2 linked regions of the Coturnix japonica genome follow. The protein of the gene in region 1 purifies or fractionates together with the protein of each later gene. This does not show direct contact. Links are inferred from orthologs where the notes say so. Each region holds a gene or a part of one and is shown on either strand. Other genes may lie near its edges.

Region 1 (3,811 bases):
AAGCAGGTGGTAAATTTCTAGCAAAAAGAATCATGAGAATGAGTTAAGAACTGTCTGATAGCTTGCAGTTTGCTACCCTTTTTATTTTGCTTTATTATTCATTAAGGCTTATTAATTTTTAAAGCTTATTAAATGTAGATCTTTCCTTTGCCTGTCTCTAAATTGAGAAGCTTAAGTAGAGCCTTGGGCTACAGTTCTACAGAAGTTGGAGATTCATGCAGTAATATTAGTTGTATAGAATCGAAATTGCTGAGGCTAGACGGGGTATCAGGAAGCCAAGTAAACCAAGCTTCCTTTATAGTTGCCTTGGTGCCACTTAGTGTTGCATGATGATTGAGAGGTAACATGAAGAGGAGTCTAAGGCAGCCCAGGCCTGAACAGCTCCACAGAGCCATTGGTCTGAGTAGTAACTTGATGGTTGTGGGTGGTGGTTGTTTGATTGATACATCTGCTGCGTTTTTGCTCTAAAGAACCTCAAAATGAGGTATTAGATGTTTCTAGCAGACAGAAGGCGCGATGTTCTGTTCCTAGGTAATTCATATTCTTGATTTGCAACGCTGTCGGTAAAGCTTATTAAGAAGTGATTACAAGGCAGACTTACTGTTATGAATGCCTGCTCGACATCTGCCTGAAGAATTAAGTTTGATGGTGACGCCATTATAATTGTCTTACATGAAAAATGAATCTAGTAAATTCAGCTGTTAGATGGAATTTTTATGGCGCAGTTAATGATTGGGCGGTGTTGAATTTCACCTTCTTCCTGGACTGTTACAGTAGTAGAGGGAATGCCTCTGTAAAGTGGCACTTTAAAGACACTTGAAAATGGTTCCCTTCTGTAAAATTACTTTTTCAGCATGAAATTCTAAGATGCGTGTGAGCAGAAGTGCATCTTTCCCATCTCTCCCAGCAGCAGGCAGCCAGCACTTCCTCTTCAGTGGCTTTGATACACTTCCTCTCTGCCATGTGACACCTACTGCTGCCAGGATCCCTGAGGCTTTTCAACGGAGCCAAATGCGTCTCTTGCCAAATCACAGTTGGTGTGACTGTTGCTATCTCAAGGATGCAATCTTGGCGTGCAAGTGCTGTCTAATCTTCAAAAGGGATGTCCTAGGGGCCTCCTCGCTTCTGACAGCATGTTCTGTAGGCATGTGTTTGCTGGATACACAGTTGAGTAATCCTGTCTGAGACAGTAATGTAAGAAATTGCAATGTCTTTTGTCTTCATACGTTAGATAGATTTTTATTAAATATGGAAGCAGCTCTATAGGCAGTAGAGATGAGCTTAGTTGTTTTTCTGCCGTGCTGTGTGACAGGTGCTTTATTTATTTATTTGTTCATGCTGTCAAAACTAGAGTAAAATGCTGAGTGTTTTTCCCGAGGTTCTTGGGTCTTTTGTTCCTTTCCATTGTTTGTTATGAAAGTGGGAGCTCTAAGCTTAAAATCTTTTCTTTTATTGTTTTTTCCAGGTGTATGTTGGTGAACTTCCTCAAGACTTTCTTCGTATTACTCCAACCCGGCAGCAACAGCAAATCCAACTGGACGCCCAGGCAGCTCAACAGCTGCAATATGGAGGACCCATGAGTACAGTAGGCAGACTGAGCATTACTGTAGTACAGGTATAAATTGTACCAATAGAAACTTCAGTCATTTTTTTGTCAGTGGCCACAAAAGTCTTTGTGTTGAATGTTCTACTCAACTGCTTGGTTTTAAGGAAGCGTGTAGTTTTCAAGGTTGTGCATCAATCGTAATGAATTTAAGTGCTGTTGATTATATTCTCCTAAATTATTACATTGATAATTTATATGCTGTGTTCTGGTAGCATTTTATGTCAAGCTTCTTAATCTCAGGACTTCAGGGTCTAGAGAGAAAAATAACATGGGTGCTAACTTTCCTACTTTAATTTGCATAGCCCACATTTACAAGGAACAGTGTAAGTGTATGTCTTGAAGTATGAAAGGCCTTTCTGGCCAGAGCTGCAGCTGCTGTGCCTAAATCTGTTGCAAATCTCAACTGTTTGAACTCCTTAAACCTCCTGCAGATGAGAGGCATCATAGGCACCTTTTTTCTTTTTTTTTTTTTAAGCATAAAAACTAATTCTATGCAATCTTTTACAGGTTAGAGCAATAGGTCATATAAACCTGTGTTCTGCTTGACATAGCTGTGCAGCAGTACTTGGTGCTGTCTTTAGGACCGTCACAAACTTGTTTTTTTTCTGTTCCCCTGATGTTATAATGAAAGTATATTGGGTAACTTCAGATTATGTGCTGTATCTGTGTCCTTCCAGTACCATCACACTGAAGTTGCCCTCTGAATTATGTAACATCAAATACACGCTCTCATATCTTAAAAGTATAAACAGCTGGATTTTACTCTAAGTGGTTTCTTTTTACAGCAAACATGGTGTGATATTCTCAAATCTGTTATTTCATCCTTTGAAATATTTCAGTAAAAGAGGGTAGGCTACGTGCAATGTGGAGTTCCATTGGAGGGCAGAAATCAAGGCGAAAACTGAACATAATACAATTCCCTTGTAACCATATGTCTGCTGGTTTTATTATGAGGTAATTTTAGCTTTGGTGAAGATGTGTATTTTCTGTACAAGACACTTTAAAAAGAGTCTTGTCAAGTTTTCTCAAGCACTTAATGACATCATTGACTTTTTTTTCTCTACCTCAATTTAATGTATTTGTTTGACGTTTGATTCTTTGTGATCTAATTGTAACCACAAGTTATTGTACATATTACACGCTTAAAGGGCTTTCTTTTTTTTTTTTTTTTTTCCAGGCAAAATTGGCAAAGAACTATGGAATGACCCGCATGGATCCCTACTGCCGGATACGGCTGGGGTACGCTGTGTATGAAACCCCCACAGCACATAATGGAGCCAAGAACCCTCGCTGGAACAAAGTTATTCAGTGCACTGTTCCTCCGGGTGTGGACTCTTTTTACCTAGAGATATTTGATGAGGTCAGAATGTTGATACTGCTTTTGTTTCCTCATCCCTTGGTTGGGCTGAGGTTTGGGTGGAGTCCTGCAAGGTAGAATTGAGTTAGCAAAGGTTGTTTCTTAGCTGCTCTCTCTGGGAGATAGTGCTGATTTATCAGATTCTTAAGAGCAGCAATATGTGAAGCTGTGCTCTACTCCAAGAACATCAGCCCAAGAATGCCAGAGCTTGGAATACCATAATGTTAGAGGAGCTCCCAGCAAATAAAGAGAAGTGTCATCTGAGCTGTTCTTCACTGTCAAGATGTGTTGCAGCCTTATATTCTCTACTTCTCCTATTAAAAATAGCAACTATTTACATTGCTGGGTTAGCCTGAGATTTTTCATTGTTCTAGCCCACATAAAGGTTAACTGCAAGCCCATTAGTACTGAGAATTAACCAATCATATATGGAATGTGTAGTCACTTGGAATAATTCACAGAATCAACTCTATCTATGTTTGAATTTAATGGCAAGTCCCTCCATGTCCACTTATGTATGTTTTCCTTAACATACAGTGGTGATAAACTGTTTACAAGTTACAGATTTCAGTTTCTCGGAGATTAAGTACATCTGATTAACAGCTCAGCTGAATAATCTGCTCTGCAAACGTTGCTTATGAGAGTAGTACTGTCATAAACTCTAATGTGTTATTCTACTAGATGTTGTTATTGGCAGCAGGGAGTATGTGCCTATGTGTTAACTGTTCCATTTGGGGATGTTGACTTTGACTTAGAACAAACTTGTGTTCTCAGGTAATGTTAGAGGCTACAACTGAGGCAAATGTCTATGACTTGCCCTTCTTTGCTTCCCCTCTTACTGTGCGAGT
Region 2 (4,270 bases), on another chromosome or scaffold:
CCAGAAGCTCAGTCACCCCCATCAACTCGATAAGCCTCTCACCTTAATAACACGAGAAGGGTTCCCAGGACAGTTCTCTTTTATCTTCTTGTCCATAGTGCCCGAGAAAAGCAAGATACACTTTCACCTATGGAGAATGAAACAGAGAACAGGGCTGAGCCTCCAAGCAGCGCCACTCCTCGGACGTGCTGCTCTCCCTTTGCCCCCTAGGCCTCACTTTAGGCCTCCCCCTAGGCCTGCCCGCCCCAGCTCCGTAACGGCCGGGCCGTACCCACACCACACGCCGGCTGGGCCGCCCTCGAGGCAGGTAAGGCCGCAGGTAAGGCCACAGCACAGCACCACGCGAGGCCCGACCCGGCCCAGCCGTCCCCACACTCACCTCGGCCCGCGGCCGCTACAACTGTTTGAATTCAAACCTCCCTCCCTTAAATAGCCTTTAAAATTCCGCCCCCTCGCCATTGGCTCCTCTCCTGGCATCCGCGCCCTCCGATTGGCCGCTTTTCAGTCTACCTGCCTTCCCATTGGCTCTCCTGACTCCCCGCTCGTCGCGAGGCCTAGACTCGTCGCCGTGAGCTTGCGGTGCGCATGCGCAACGGCGGCCCGCTGCGTACCCGCGTCGTCCCGACCCGCCCACCCTTTGGGCGGCGTTTACGTTACATACGTACTTTACGTACCGTCTGTCCGCCGCTTGTTTCTTCCGTACTCCAAGTGCGTGGATCGAGCTCACACACTTTCTCTCCGTAAGTCTCAGCCCGGCCGCGGTCTCTCGTTACGCAAATCGCGTTACGTCCAGCCCACCCACCTGTGGCAGCGCTACAACTCCCGCTCAACGAGGCCTCGGGGGTGAAGGGCTCCAGGTTAGTGCTGCATCCAGCCGGGCTCACACCTCGATCCTCCTCAGCGTCACCTGGGGCTGAGGGAGACGCGGCGCTGCCACCTCGCGTGAAGCCGAGTGGGAGCTGGGGGCCATTGTGTGCTGAGGTGCGACGGGCAGCAGCAGGAGGAGCATCAGGCCTCAGCTTCGCACGGCGCTGCTCCACGTGCCCTTAACGAGCCTTAAGGGGGCACCAACCCAGCTCAGCACGAGGGGACGCCCGGCTGTTGGCTGCACAGCGCCCGGTGCTGCTCGTGCATTGCGGAGCGGCTCGTGGTGCTGCTCTGTCTCACAGCACTGAGGGACCCGCTGCCTGAAGAAGCGATTGAAGGTATTGAAGGCAACTTATCAGCGGCTCCGCGTCCTTAACGACCCGGCTCGAGGGCGGTCCCGGTGTGTTGGTGTCGACAAGCGGGACACCATAGGGAAAAAGAAGATGTCCGGTCGTCGCGTGGCTGCAGCGTGTGACCGACGGCAGCTGCCGCGGGGCATGGGGAGTATGGGGAGCATGGCAGCTCCGCTGCTCGACCCGCGGCCGCTACGGCTGCCGTTTCTGGAGGCTGACGTGAGTAGCACGGGGCTGTGGGTTGGGTGGCGGTGGGACATGGAAGGGGCTGAGCTGGCTGAGCTGGCGGCCCTAAACACTCGTGAGGCCTGTGTGCCGTGGTGCCCCATGGCAGGTGTTGCGGTGTCCGGCAGCACCGTGCGGGTATTGTAGCCCAAACACAGACTCGCAGCCCCCAGCTGCGGTGCTCATAGCAGCTCTACGCTCCGATGGGCAGCACGGGGCGGTACTGGGCAACCTGATCTAGTAAAGGTGTATGTTTGGTGGCCCTGCCAGGCAGGGGGGTTGGAACTACGTGATCCTTGAGGTCCCTTCCAACCCGGGTCATTCTGTGTGTCTACGGGCCGCCTGGGCCTGCTCGAGGCTGTGCCCTGCCCGACACGTCACCCCACGGGCTGCAACCGGGTCCGAGCCACGGTGGAGGGGGCGTTGGATCCCGGGATCCCCGCTGGGCTCCGCTCTGCAGCCCGCCCCTTCCCCACCGGGCGGGGGGTCCTTTAACAAGGCAGGGGTCCTGTTAGAGCGGCCCGTCGCGTCCTTAACGCGTCACCGGTGACGTGACGCCGCCGTTCTCTCCCCTAAGAGTCGGCTCCAATCGATGTGCGGGCGCTCGATGCAGCAGCCCTCGCGGAGGAGCGTTCTTCGGTCTCGGCCGCCGCCGCCGCCTCCTCCTTTACCGCCGCCGCCGATCGATGCGCTCAGAGCTCCGGTCGCCATTTTAGGGGCAGAGCGAGGGAGGCAGAAGGAAGGGTCGGTAGGTACCGGCGGCCTCGTGTCGTTCTCCGCGTTCGGCTGCGAGGCCTCGGCTCGTTGCAGCGCAATAATGAGCTGCTCCCTCCGCCCGGCTCTGCGCTGTGCCCGCCCCCATTCAACCCCGTTCCCCACACGCCCCCTCCCGCTCCGTCCCCCTGCCCACTACTGCCAGCAATGGGCGCTACCAGCCCCATAACCCAAACCTGCTTTTTTTTCTCTTATTTTTTTTATTTTCTCCACGTTATTTCCTCCTTAATACAATCCTTGCTCCTTTTATTCGTCGGGTTTTTGTATCTGCAATAAAGATGCAGCAGATTTCTCTTGTTTTCTCTGTCTTTCGTTTCTCAGTCTCACCTAAAGTTTCAGTGTCATTACTGCTGATACTCACATTAAATAAAAGCTTTAATCATTTCATGCGACTCTCTTGTATGTGACTCTTCCTATTTATTTATTTCAGGCCCCTCCGAGGCATTCCTTGCTCACAATGTATAGGACAAAAGTCAGCTTGAAAGACCGTCAGCAACTTTATAAGCTAATCATTAGTCAGCTCCTGTATGATGGATACATAAATATTGCCAATGGTTTAATAAACGAGATCAAACCACAGTCAGTTTGTGCGCCATCTGAACAACTGCTGCATCTTATTAAATTAGGTAAGATGGGGTTAAAACAAAAGAACTGCTGTAAAGTTTGTGCTCCCAAATCCTTGGATTCAATCTTTGTGAGTGCTGTGGTGTTACTGAGAACACATCTCTTCTGTTTTCTATGCCTTTGTAGCAAACCACAGAGTTTTTATATCTTTATGTGTAGCCTGTGTTTCATTCTTTAGCACTGGAAGTGCTAAACAGGATCACAAGTCTACACATTTAATAGAAAGTTAGATCCATTACTACAGCACAACTCTATGTGGTTGTTCCTGGACATGTTGGGAATGGAGGAGTAAGTCCTTCCATTGGCCACCCTCATTGGCCTTTATATACCACTCTGCAGGAAACAAGCTTCACAGTGTAGGATCTTGGCAAAGGTGTGTTTCTTGTTCTCTCTGTGCGTCTTCCTGAAAGTATGAATGTGCTGCAGAAAGTAATCAGAATTCCTGAGCTGCTGTTGGAACAAGCCAGCTGGGTTGCTGGAAGAGTCCTAACAATGACAACATGTCTCCTCTCTATTGTAACTGAACTGGTTCTGCTGCTTGAACTAGTTGATTTCTATGGGTAAAAGTGTGGAGCCTCATCAGTCTGAAAGAAGATTACTAGGCTTGGCAGTCTGCAGATGAAAGCAGAACAAACTTTTCTGTGAAGCTGGGCACTTAAAACTTGTCTGTCCTTGCCTTGGTGCAGCTTGCAGTGCTGAACTGGCTGTATATGTATATCATGTAGATGCATAATGCAAATCAAAGTGATTCTTTAAGATGGGTTTCAAGTAATAATTTTCATTATTTAGTATTTATTTTTAATATTTTTTTTATATCTTTATTCTGTGTTTAGTCAAACTGCCTTTCGCTCTTCATGAGAGATATTGCTGTTCTACATGTAGATCTGTTCTGCTAGCTTAGCTTTGTTCAGCATGGGCTTTCTCTCCTAAATCCTGAGCTTCAGAGCTACCAAAGAAGTGTGTAGGATAGATACGAGCATAGCCTGCCTGTCTAAAGAGGAGGTAAGCCTGTTTTAAGAATGTCAACTTTCTCTTTTCAGGGATGGAGAATGATGACAGTGCTGTTCAGTATGCAATTGGACGGTCAGATACAGTAGCTCCAGGCACAGGAATCGACTTAGAATTTGATGCAGATGTACAGACCATGTCTCCTGAGGCTTCTGAGTATGAGACTTGTTATGTCACATCTCATAAGGGACCGTGTCGTGTAGCAACGTATAGCAGAGATGGACAGCTAATAGCTACAGGATCTGCTGATGCCTCAATAAAAATTCTTGATACGGAGAGAATGCTGGCCAAAAGCGCTATGCCCATAGAGGTAAAATATGACTTGAATCATAGTCACTGTGTGAATTCTTGAGCTGATGTCTCTGTTTCGTGCCATGTCTGTGCCTTGTGGCTGGCTCAGTGGGTTGGACTAAATATCT

What was found.
Region 2: the proteins of TOLLIP (region 1) and CSTF1 purify together in Homo sapiens (co-immunoprecipitation; 3 studies listed by BioGRID and IntAct, with this or other methods). This does not show direct contact. The link is inferred for Coturnix japonica from reciprocal best matches to the Homo sapiens genes TOLLIP and CSTF1.

What each region holds. Positions count from the first base shown.
Region 1 is NC_029520.1:9,915,338-9,919,148, reverse strand, and holds part of TOLLIP (toll-interacting protein), read left to right. Parts: intron 1-1,465; coding exon 1,466-1,615; intron 1,616-2,783; coding exon 2,784-2,966; intron 2,967-3,811. UniProt on the Homo sapiens protein: Component of the signaling pathway of IL-1 and Toll-like receptors. Inhibits cell activation by microbial products. Recruits IRAK1 to the IL-1 receptor complex. Inhibits IRAK1 phosphorylation and kinase activity.
Region 2 is NC_029535.1:10,852,440-10,856,709, reverse strand, and holds the start of CSTF1 (cleavage stimulation factor subunit 1), read left to right. Parts: upstream 1-1,254; 5' UTR 1,255-1,310; coding exon 1,311-1,439; intron 1,440-2,022; coding exon 2,023-2,193; intron 2,194-2,649; coding exon 2,650-2,845; intron 2,846-3,883; coding exon 3,884-4,161; intron 4,162-4,270. Other genes in the region: AURKA (aurora kinase A), read right to left, coding at 43-96. UniProt on the Homo sapiens protein: One of the multiple factors required for polyadenylation and 3'-end cleavage of mammalian pre-mRNAs. May be responsible for the interaction of CSTF with other factors to form a stable complex on the pre-mRNA.